Linked DNA regions of Ovis aries. The protein of the gene in region 1 interacts with the protein of each later gene in a pairwise test. Links are inferred from orthologs where the notes say so. Each region holds a gene or a part of one and is shown on either strand. Other genes may lie near its edges. The genes, in order: EDC3, DCP1A and ANXA10.

Region 1 (3,652 bases):
CAAGAGCTTCCTTGACTTACTAAACAACACCCAGACCTAACCTTTTCTGTAGGTGTGTATCCCTCCTTATTGCTTACCTCCTCTGAAGTCTTCACAGAAGGTATACCCTTTGTGTTCAAGGCTAACCTTATCACATATGCTTTGTGTTAGCGTTTTCTGTATCCTTTGAGACCCTACCCCTTTTCTTTTGTGTCTTCACTTTGAACCTTTATACTGTCTCTCTTCTCATCACTTTCTAACTTTCCCAGGCCTCTCCCATAGTAAAAACACTCCTCCCCTTAGCGCACACACCTTGCATTTGCCACTAGTCCACTGTATTTCCCTGACTAAGGACACCTTTCACCCAGGTTAGAAACTTAGGAATCATAATGAATTCTTTGTTCTCTTGATCTTCATGTTCAGTTAGTCACCAAATTCTTTGGATTCCAAATGTTTTTTTGGTTCCATCCTCCTTTCTCTCTTTGCATTGTCACTTGCTGTATCAGTTCAGTTCAGTCGCTCAGTCGTGTCCGACTCTGCGACCCCATGAATCGCAGCACGCCAGGCCTCCCTGTCCATCACCAACTCCCAATGTCCACTCAGATTCATGTCCGTTGAGTCAGTGATGCCATCCAGCCATCTCATCCTCAGTCGTCCCTGTAAGAAACGCAGCAGGAAGAAAGAGCCACCCCTATGGACCGTTGATCAGGGCCTTTATTGGGCGGTCGCTCTCGGGCAGAACTCCAGGGGGCGGGTGAGCAAGGAAGCAAAGGGAGTCTGCGAGGTATGAGGGGTGGAGAAGGGTTTTATAGCCAGGGCCGGGCTCCCATATAAGGAAGAAAGCGTGGGCTCAGCGGTGGTTGGTGTCCAAAGGCTCCGTGTCGGCACCTGATTGGACGGCTTGGTTGTTGGCCCACCTCCGGGACTTGTCTGTGGCACTTTTCCGGGGCATGCCTCAGCACGCCTGGGCATGCCTCAACATGTCCAGGCATGCCTCAACATGCCCGACCTTGCCCGACCTTTCAGTCCCCTTCTCCTCCTGCCCCCAATCCCTCCCAGCATCAGGGTCTTTTCCAATGAGTCAACTCTTCGCATCAGGTGGCCAGAGTACTGGAGTTTCAGCTTCAGCATCATTCCCTCCAAAGAAATCCCAGGACTGATCTCCTTTAGAATGTACTGGTTGGATCTTCTTGCAGTCCAAGGGACTCTCAAGAGTCTTCTCCAACACCACAGTTCAAAAGCATCAATTCTTCAGCGCTCAGCTTTCTTCACAGTCCAACTCTCACATCCATACATGACCACTGGAAAAACCATAGCCTTGACTAGACAGACCTTTGTTGGCAAAGTAATGTCTCTGCTTTTCAATATGCTATCTAGGTTGGTCATAACTGTTCTTCCAAGGAGTAATCGTCTTTTAATTTCATGGCTGCAGTCACCATCTGCAGTGATTTTGGAGCCCCCCAAAATTAAGTCTAACACTGTTTCCACTGTTTCCCCATCTATTTCCCATGAAGTGATGGGACCAGATGCCATGGTCTTATACATCCCCTCTTATTTCTGCCTCATCTCCTAACTGGTGCCCCTGCCTCTAGTTTCTTCACTGTTCTTATAGACACCAGAAAAACCCAGTGTGATTATGATCTGATCCCTAATCTTCTCTTCAGCCTTACCTCCTGATGGCCCTCTATAAGCATTTGTCTCTTTAGTAACACTATAACATTTACGCTAACAACAGTAACTTTTGCAGTTCCTCACATGGCCTCAGTCTCTGAGCCTTGGCTTAAGGTGCCCCTTTCCCTCCCATACTCTGCTTGGCCAACTCTTATTTTCCCTCCCCAACCAGACTTGGCTTAAGTGCTTCATCCATCTCTACCAGACTAACATGTATTTTGCTCTGGGAGGCTCTAGTCCCCAGTACACACCTCTGTCATAGTATTCAACACTTTTGATTACCTACTTGAATTTTCTGCTGAACAGACTTCGAGTTCTGTGTGAGCATATATTACTTTTCGTCTTTATATACCCCACTTCTACTACGGGGGTTACCACATAGTAAGTACCCTGTGTATACCTTTTGAGTGAGCAGGTAGGTAAATGAATGAAAAAAGCCATTAAGCATTCTAGAAATCTAAGATATTAATGATGGTTTTATGATGAACAATAGGTCTCTTTATTGAAGTATAGTTGATTTGCAGTGTTGTGTTAATTTCTGCTGTACAGCGAAGTGACTCAGTAACACACACACATTCTTTTCTATGTTCTTTTCTATTATGGTTTATCCCAGGATGTTGACTATAGTTCCCTGTGCTATACAGTAGGACCTTGTTGTCCGTCCATCCATATTTAACAGTTCGTATCTACTAACCTGAAATGCCCAGTCCATCCGTCTCCGACTCCCTTAACAATAGGTCTCTTTTTTGTTTTCCTTTTCTAAGCTTTTAATTTATTTTTTGTTTCTTTTCTAAAAAATTTATTTATTTTTAATTGAAGGATAATTGCTTTACAGTATTGTGTTGGTTTTTACCAAATGTCAACATAAATCAGCCGTAGGTTTACCTATGTCCCCTCCCACTTGCACCTCCCACCGACTTCCCTCCCCATCCCACCCCTCTCGTTGTTACGGAGCCCGGTTTGAGTTCCCTGAGTCATTCAGCACAATCCCATTGGCTCTCTGTTTTACATATGGTAATGTATGTTTCCATGTTACTCTCTCCATACATCACACCCTCCTCCCTCCCCGCCTCAGCCGTATCCATATTGCCTGTTCTCAATGTCTGTGTCTCCGTTGCTGCTCTGCAGATAGGTTCATCAGTTCCATCTTTCTAGATTCCATATACATGCATTAGTATATGTTATAACAATAGGTCTCTTTTAAAGGTCAGTGCTGTGTCCATTGAATGTTGGTGGCTAAGTCTTGTCTTTAAGTACGCCACCATCTTTTTTAGGTTTTGCCTTTGATGACTCATTGAAATGAAGCCCTCCAAAGGTGTGGCTTGTTGCTGATAATCTCAGTTTCATCACCGTTATCACTATTTTAGTTTTGAGACTTGGACTCTTTTATGTATTTCAGGGCAGGTGACATTACAGAATTAAAAATTCTGGAGATACCAGGCCCTGGAGAAACCCAGCATTTTGGAGATCTTCATCAGACAGAATTAGGCTCCTCTGGTGTTGGTTGCCAAGTTGGTATCAATCAAAATGGCACAGGCAAGTTGGTCAAGAAGCCAGCCTCTTCGAGCAGTGTCCCTCAGAACATCCCCAAGAGGACAGATGTGAAGAGCCAAGATGTTGCCATCTCTCCCCAGCAGCAACAGTGCTCAAAGAGCTACGTGGACAGGCACACGGAATCCTTGAGTCAGTCCAAGAGCTTCCGTCGTCGGCACAACTCTTGTAAGTTGGATTAAGTTAATGTGTTTTCTTAGCTTGATGTTTCATGTCCACTTATCCACTGCTGTTCTTTAAATAAGTCCTTTATTACTCTAATAAAAAAGATCCTGGCAGGGTTTCGCAAAAATATAGCATGGTTCTTTTATTCCAGTGGTATTTCCTCAAGATGTTAAAGGGAAAGGAAATAAGCTGTTGAGGTTCACACCTGCTCCTTGCCCTCTCCCAACATTTCCTTTCCTTCAAAAAATGTCAGTGATCTGGCTCGAGTTCACATAGACAGAAGTGA
Region 2 (3,652 bases), on another chromosome or scaffold:
TTTTAAAAGTCAAGGATAATCACCCCCTGCCAAATGCCAAATGTTTGCTTTGGACCTGCATGTAAATATGGAAATTAATTGGACAATAAAATTTCTAGAAAGTTGAGCACATGATTTTAGACAATAGTGTTCATAACAACTGTTATTTTTATAACCCCTTTAAGGACAAGCAAACAGCATTACTTTATTATATATTCTTTTCCACTTTTTTTTAAGTTAATATATGGTAAAATTAACTTTTGAAATGTATCACCAGGCTTCCCTGGTGGCTCATACTGTAAAGAATCTGCTTGTAATGCAGGAGACCCTGGTTCGATCCCTGGATTGGGAATATCCCCTGGAGAAGGAAATGGCAATCCACTCCAGTAATTCTTGCCTGGAGAATTCCATGGACAGGGGAGCCTGGAGGGCTACCATTTCTTTCACTTTCAAAATTAACTTTTGAAATGTATAGTTTTGTGTACCCACAAATCAGGATATCCGACCTCCCCAAACTCCCTTGTGCTATCCCAATGCAGTCGTGCCCTCCTTCCACTCCTGGCAACCAGTGACTCTTCTCTGGCACTAGTTCCGTCTTTTCGAGATTGTCATCTAAATGGAATGGTGGCTTCCTTAACTTAGCAAATGCCTTTGAGATTCATCCAAGCTGTTGCATAGATGAATCTGGCAATCTCCCAAGTCTCTACCTAGAGATAAAGGGTCTATTTGGAACCATCTGAGGCAGAGAAGAAATCATCCAAACACTAAGACGTGAACTCATGGGCCGCTGCTAAGACTAACACCATATGATTAGATGACAGGCGAGTGTAGACAAGCAACAATACTCCTGTTTAAGGAAGTGCCACCTATTTATGGATGGCTTCAAAAATAGAAAGAACACATTATGAAGGAAATATCAAAGATTTAACTAACTCCCCAAAGGTTTAGTCTTAATCCAACCACAGAAATTTTATTCACTCCATACCATATCAGAATTCCCTTACAACAGTAGTTACTGCGCTGTCCATACTGTCTACCTTTGCAACGTGCATTGACCAGAATTCATGTCAGATTTTTACACTGCTCATGTGACCTAGAGCTCCTCTGCAGCTCTGCACACAGAAACAAGGCTTCAGCTCTTTCTTCCCCCTGGAGAGGACTTGCTCCCCAGCCTGAGGAGGAAGGCGGGCCCCTCCTGGAGCCTCTGCTCTAGTGCGCAGCTCCCGCACTTTTTGTCCTGTGTGGCACCTTGACCTCGTCCTCACTGGGAATGGGTGACAGAGCTCTCAACTTACTAGCTGTTACCACAACACCGAAAGGGCTCTATAAAAACAGAAGGAATCTATGTAGATAACCCGTATCTCATTAAGGGTATGGGAGGGAATTTATGGTAATACATGGTAACTTAAAAGCTCAGAAATGGTTCTTGAAATTTATTTACTTCATCCAGTTTCCTAAGAATCAATGAATTCATTATAGAAATGACTGCCTTTTATGTATTAACTTTCACAGATCCATAAATTCTTTGTAATTCTCTAAGACAGACATTGAGGAATCTGTTAGAACTTTAAACATCTCATGGGTTCTAATGTACATTTCTTTACCCAGGAAGTGGGACCTTTTATTTTCCAAAATCCTTTTCTCCCACAGTAATTTTTAAGGAACAGAAAAAGAACACTTTGAATTTTCAGAGGTAAGAACATCCCCTTCCTTATCTATAAGACAGGTCTTCTTTCTGAACTACTTATTCCCACTGGCCCTGGAGGTGACCTCCCCAGTCCACCAGACCCGCCACCGGTCTCCTCCCTGCTCTGGTTCTCCTGCTCAGCGCACAGCCTCACCCTCTCGTACTCATCCTTGGCTCTGCTTAGCATCTCCAGGATGTCGATGGGCCTGTGGTCACTGCAGCCGTTGGCCTGGTTGGGACTCTGCTTATCCCGAGCTGCTTGCTGGGACCGCCGTGTCTCCTCTTCTACCACGCTGGAGGAAGAGAACCAAGTTTTAGAAAGACCTTTTTTGACACAATATGACCCAAGATTTTGGCGTCCATCTTCCAAGGATACTGGAAGACTGCCTCATGGTAACAATGCCTTCCTCACAATACAGAATAGAGCCTCGCTACCTCATCCCAGTAAGACATGACTGACTACTTTCACCATCTCACTCACAACAGTACCAACCAATATAGTTCACTGTTAGAAGGCCAAAAATACAGAATTCCTTTCCAGATTTGGTAGAAGTAGATACTTTTAAAATCTACTAAATTACACATTATTTCTCTCTCTTTCCTACATTATCTCAGGATCAGTCAAACTACCTGGTAATAAAGTAAATCTGAAAATGGACAATGCCACCAAGACAAAGGAAAGCTGTTCAGGTGAACCACTCCTATGGAGAGGGTATATTAATAATGGGGAGCAAGGAAAAAGCTTAGCATCTTGAAAATGAAGATCTTGGTGAATTTTCAAAAATCAGCAATAACTCTACAAGCAAACAAAAGATTTTCCTTGTTGTCTCCTTAAAAAAATCACTAAGTGGGTAACTAAGGTCAGGGTGATTGTGGCAACGTTCTTTATTTTGACTAGTGTTACTTAAGCTAATTTTGCACTTGAAAATATATATTAAAAAAAGCATGAAAGTCAAGGTCTAAGTCAAGGGCTGCGGTCTGCAAATGTATCTGAGAGGTTTAATTTCTTAGGAACATGCTCTCTCCCTGCCACATCTTAAAGTCTGAAGCAAAATGTGAAAAACTAAAAGTTGCCTGGGGAGCACATGAATGTTTTACTGCTTCTTATATTTTTCTTAAAGCTTGAAATTAATGTAACAAAATAAGATAATGAATCTTTTTTCTTTTAAACATCCATTCAGGTTTCAAGTCCAACTGTAATGAACAGGCCTACTTGCCATGGGATAGTATAGGCACAGTCACAACTTGATAATTGAATTAATTTGAAAACTTTCAGACAGTGATGATGACAGGTAATAAAACAATTCAATAGTAAAAGGCTTTTTTTTTTTTATGGACTAAGAGGCATAGAACAGGGTACCCAATGTCAGTTTACTGCTTTAAAACAGCCTGCCTAGGAACTCCTATTAGTGTGTGTGTGATGGTTCTTTTATTTGAAAACATCGGATTAAACAATATTAAACACAGATTAAAAAAAAAAAAAAACAACAGCAACATTATTCTGAGTTTTTAACAAGCTACAATGTATTATGCTTCTCCAAGGATGGGTTTAAAGCTTTCTCCAAACTGGGAAGTCCCTGGTGGTCCAGTAGTTAGAACCCCACGCTTTCACTGGCAAGGGCCTGGGGTTCAATCACTGGTGGGGGAACTAAGATCCTACAAACTTAGTGATGCAGCCAAAAACCAAAAAATGCTTATTATTTAATACTCAGTTGTAGGCCACACCAACCATCAAGGACCGGTCAAACAGCCCGTGTCTACCCATCACCTGCTACACTGTCTGGCTTACCCATGCTAGTATTCACCTCTCTCTGACCTGGACTGGATTTGTGATCTTCATTCAAAAGAAAAACATTTCTAATAATCACCACTGTTCATCCACCCAAAGGACTACCTTATAAAACTGCTGAGAGCAGAAACTGGCTGGCGGCATGGAAGGCACACCCAGCTCTGGACTCTAAGGCCTCTTCCAATCACACTCTGGGA
Region 3 (4,198 bases), on another chromosome or scaffold:
GGAAGAGCCGACTCGTTGGAAAAGATCCTGATGCTAGGAAAGGTTGAAGGCAGAAGGAGAAGGGGGTGACAGAGAATGAGATGGTTGGCTGGCATCTCTGATGCAATATACATGAACTTGGGTAAACTCCAGGAGATGGCAGGGGACAGGGAAGCCTGGCATGCTGCAGTCCATGGGGTCTCGAAGAGCCAGACAGGACTTGGTGACTGACTCACAACAACAACAAATGAACACTGGGTTGTTCACTAAGTGGCAAGTAGCAGTAAAATGCTGTAATACACATTTATTTTGTGATTTGGGGGAAATCATGTATGAAACATATGCTTACAGGTATTTCCTAGCAATATGTTGGACTTTGAAGCTGATTTTAAAATGTTTCCTCAAAATGTAATAAGGCTAAATCCTAAAATAATGTATATACATATGAAAGTGTATAAGTGAAAGTGAAAGTCACTCAGTCACGTGTGACTCTTTGTGACCCCATGGATTATACATGGAATTTTCCAGGCCAGAATACTGTAGTGGGTAGCCTTTCTCTTCTCCAGGGATTAAGCCCAGTTCTCCCAAACTGCAGGCAGATTCTTTACCAGCTGAGCCACAAAGGAAGCCCAAGAATACCAGATTGGGTAGCCTATCCCTTCTCCATCAGATCTTCCTGACCCAGGAATCAAACCGGGGACTCCTGCATTGCAGGTAGATTCTTTACAAACTGAGCTCTGAGGGAAGCACAAGTGTACAAATGATGGTGCACGTATATGACTTATCCAAAACTTCTCCTGATGGGTAATCATTTCTTTCCTAAATAAACTATTTTTTAACATAAGACACATAACAGTTTAACATATTTAGTGAATGGTATGTGTGTTAGTCACTCAGTCGTGTGGAACTCTTCGCGACCCCATTGACCGTAGCCCTGCCAGGCTCCTCCATCCACGGGATTTTCCAGGGAAGAATGCTGGAGCGGGTTGCCATTTCCTTCTCCAAGTGAATGGTATAGATGCATATAAAACCTAGCCATGTGAAGCATGAAGCTAGAGGCTGGAGGAACTGAAAAAGTCTGAGTGTTAAAAACAACAGAGCAGAAAATAAATCATTAACTACGTGGTTAATCAACCCACTTTCCATAAGTCACCAGCTTTCTCAAAAGATTACACTGCTTTGATTGGTTTGATAATTAATGTTTCTTAAATCAACACAGAGCCAGGGGCTAAGCTACCGATTCTGTTTGTTTTGTGCATTAATTCTGCCTGTGACTGGTGGCTCAGTATATTAATAAACGCTTGTCCATAACTGACCCTCTGTTTTCTTGCTTGAGAAACCAAAGTGGACAGTGGACACACTTAAGTTGGATTGAACGGTGAACTTGAGTTCTTTCTAGGGACACGGTGAAACAAGTCTATTCAACTGACCACACACTAAACACCTTTTGATCTGCCCTGAAGTTAAACATTATCATCAAAATGTTTTGCGGAGACTATGTGAGTATAATGGCGATTTCCATAAAACTTTATAGTTTTTTGAGATGTGTAAACCTTGTTTACAAAATTTCATTTGTGGTTCTTGACATTTTCAACAAGAAATATTGGTGTTTTGATTTATCTTCATTAAAGTGTTAATGAGTAGGTGTCCAATGTAACTATTAAACAAAGTCTGTGTTATTAAATATCAAATTCGTGCTAGTTTTGAAATAATGTATTGTTCTCTAGAGGCAATTCAGTGATCCCTACTTTCTAAAGTTACCTGACTCAGAATTCTAACTGAAGTAGTAATAAGCTATTTTTGTCTCCATACTTATTTCTCTCTATAAGAAACTAAAAGTAAGCCTGATTGCTAATTTTTATTTAAAATCTATGGTATGTTCAGAAAATATAGTTGTTGTTGTTTTTTTTAATTTTTATTTTTACTTTATTTTACTTTACAATACTGTATTGGTTTTGCCATACATTGACATGAATCCACCACGAGTGTACATGAGTCCCCAGACATGAACTCCCCTCCCACCTCCCACCCCATATCATCTCTCTGGATCATCCCCATGCACCAGCCCCAAGCATCCTGTATCCTGCATCGAACATAGACTGGCGATTCGTTTCTTACATGATAGTATACATAATTTAAACAAATGTAAGACTTAGTTTAGTCATTTTATTTTTTTCCTTGTCTGGGTCACTTTGATCCAATTACTCTAACAGTCCATGAACTTTGGAAGAGCCTATAGAGACACTGAGTTATTTAAATATACATCATTTGAAAAGATATCCACTTCACACAGCCTTGGAAATTATATATACTTTTGTTGAGGATTTTCTAAAAATGTGTATCATTAAAAATTCTTTCCAGAAGCCTTTTATTTTAGTGCAAAAATTTTATGCAGGAAAAGAAAACAATTATTTGGTTAAACTTTGGCACAAATATGATGTTATTTACCTATTTACAAAATATTAATCCCTAGAAATTTTTATTTACTTATATTGCTTTTCAAATTAAGTATTGAATGGAACCGAAAAAGTAGCTACTTTCCATCACTGTTGGTTCATGAATCTTAATTTTATCTTGAGATTTCAGGATCTTATTTGCAGGTGAAACTTCCTTTATCATCTTATTAATTGTAAGGCAGTTACATTCTACTATAGAAACAGAAGTTGTTACATAATTTAGGCCAGCACAGTAAATGATTTAATTTGTAAAAGAAGTTATTTTCTCCCAATTATTACTTTCAAATAATTGTATGTGGATGACTAGAAATTTTCTCCCTTTTTTTCATTCAAGTACAATTATTCGGGAGTAATTAAAACTATATTCTGTGTGGTACATATGGTTTTATATTAATATTTTATGCCAATCTATCAAAAGATATATTCATAAAATATTTAAATTACATTTCAGAGACTACTAAAAGTTACCAATGATAACAAGCTTTTAAAGAAATGCAGTGGTTTGCCATGCTTCTGTAGATAATCAGAGATTAAAGAGTTGGATTTCAGCAGACCTAAACTTTCATTTTAAGTGTTCTGATCATCTATTTCAGAGATAAATATTAGGTTTTATGAGTTATCTCAGAAAATTTTGATGATAAAGGGTTTTACATAATCATGTTATATTTTCATATTTATATTCTTTAGGATATACATTTATAAATCCAGTTATATATATATCCTTAAGATTTATGGACTAACTGGGAAGAATTGGATATTAAAGAGGCCAATATATGAGGTCAAGTTCACCTGTTTAGTCTCCATTCTGGGTGTGTGTCCTTCAGCAAAAGGCAGGCTTTTGCACAATAAGTAAAAGTCCTCAAGTCATAGGGGAGATAGTTACTGACTGGGTTGCTTATTAAACTATTAAGTTTTAACTAAAGTTAAATTATCGACTGAGCCTTCTTCTCAGCAGCTCTGATTGAATGACACCTGAATTCACCCCCTTGGTATAAACACCAAAATAATGCATTATGCCAGTTACAAAACATAGAAAATTTAAACAGAAATCAAGCAAGAGGCAAGAATTAGAGAAAAGCAGTTATATTTCTATAGGAAAGAAGCATATTCACTCCTTGAAAATTACTTTCCAGAATTTTGGAGTTAGATGACCCTCAGGGATTAAAGTAATTCAAGTGGGTTAGTTACATCAAGAAGGTAAATTCACCTTCCTGTGAGTATTTTACAGGTGTGCTTGACTATAAAACTGTTAAAAGCAAGATTTAATGAAATGATGTTGGCAAGCCTGGAATTGTTTTGATTCACTACTTAGCCAGATATAAATCACCCGTCAGGAAGGTGGTATGTCTTGGAGTGGAAGAAATTTCACTGCAGAGCGTTACCAAAAACATGCCCAAATCAGTATCTAAACCAGGTCTCTCTGTCGCTGTAACTCAAGCTCTTATCCACAGAAAAACACTGTCTCTTCCACATACATCGCCCTGATTCTTCTACCAAAACTGTTGGCTGTTTTTGTCCGGTTTTGTCATCGACTGATTTCCCCTTTTTGTATGTGTGCTCAGTCAGTTAGCCATACCTGACTCTTCTCTGACTCCATGGACGGTAGCCCACCAGGCTCCTCTGTCCACGAGCTTTCCAAGGCAAGAACAGTGGACTGGGTTATCACTTCCTCCTCCATCATTTTGTACAGTAGCATTTTATTTATTATAGACTCCTTTATTTGGTAACACTCTTCCTTTTTGCCTCAAAGGAAATTTTAGTCC

The links.
Region 2: the proteins of EDC3 (region 1) and DCP1A interact in binary tests that used the Homo sapiens proteins (3 or more experiments, as listed by UniProt). The two-hybrid records come from large-scale screens. The link is inferred for Ovis aries from reciprocal best matches to the Homo sapiens genes EDC3 and DCP1A.
Region 3: the proteins of EDC3 (region 1) and ANXA10 interact in binary tests that used the Homo sapiens proteins (3 or more experiments, as listed by UniProt). The link is inferred for Ovis aries from reciprocal best matches to the Homo sapiens genes EDC3 and ANXA10.

The regions. Positions count from the first base shown.
Region 1 is NC_056071.1:31,677,690-31,681,341, forward strand, and holds part of EDC3 (enhancer of mRNA-decapping protein 3), read left to right. Parts: intron 1-3,049; coding exon 3,050-3,369; intron 3,370-3,652. UniProt on the Homo sapiens protein: Binds single-stranded RNA. Involved in the process of mRNA degradation and in the positive regulation of mRNA decapping. May play a role in spermiogenesis and oogenesis.
Region 2 is NC_056072.1:47,774,495-47,778,146, reverse strand, and holds part of DCP1A (mRNA-decapping enzyme 1A), read right to left. Parts: intron 1,960-3,652; coding exon 1,821-1,959; intron 1-1,820. UniProt on the Homo sapiens protein: Necessary for the degradation of mRNAs, both in normal mRNA turnover and in nonsense-mediated mRNA decay. Removes the 7-methyl guanine cap structure from mRNA molecules, yielding a 5'-phosphorylated mRNA fragment and 7m-GDP.
Region 3 is NC_056055.1:112,562,941-112,567,138, reverse strand, and holds the start of ANXA10 (annexin A10), read left to right. Parts: upstream 1-1,300; 5' UTR 1,301-1,460; coding exon 1,461-1,478; intron 1,479-4,198.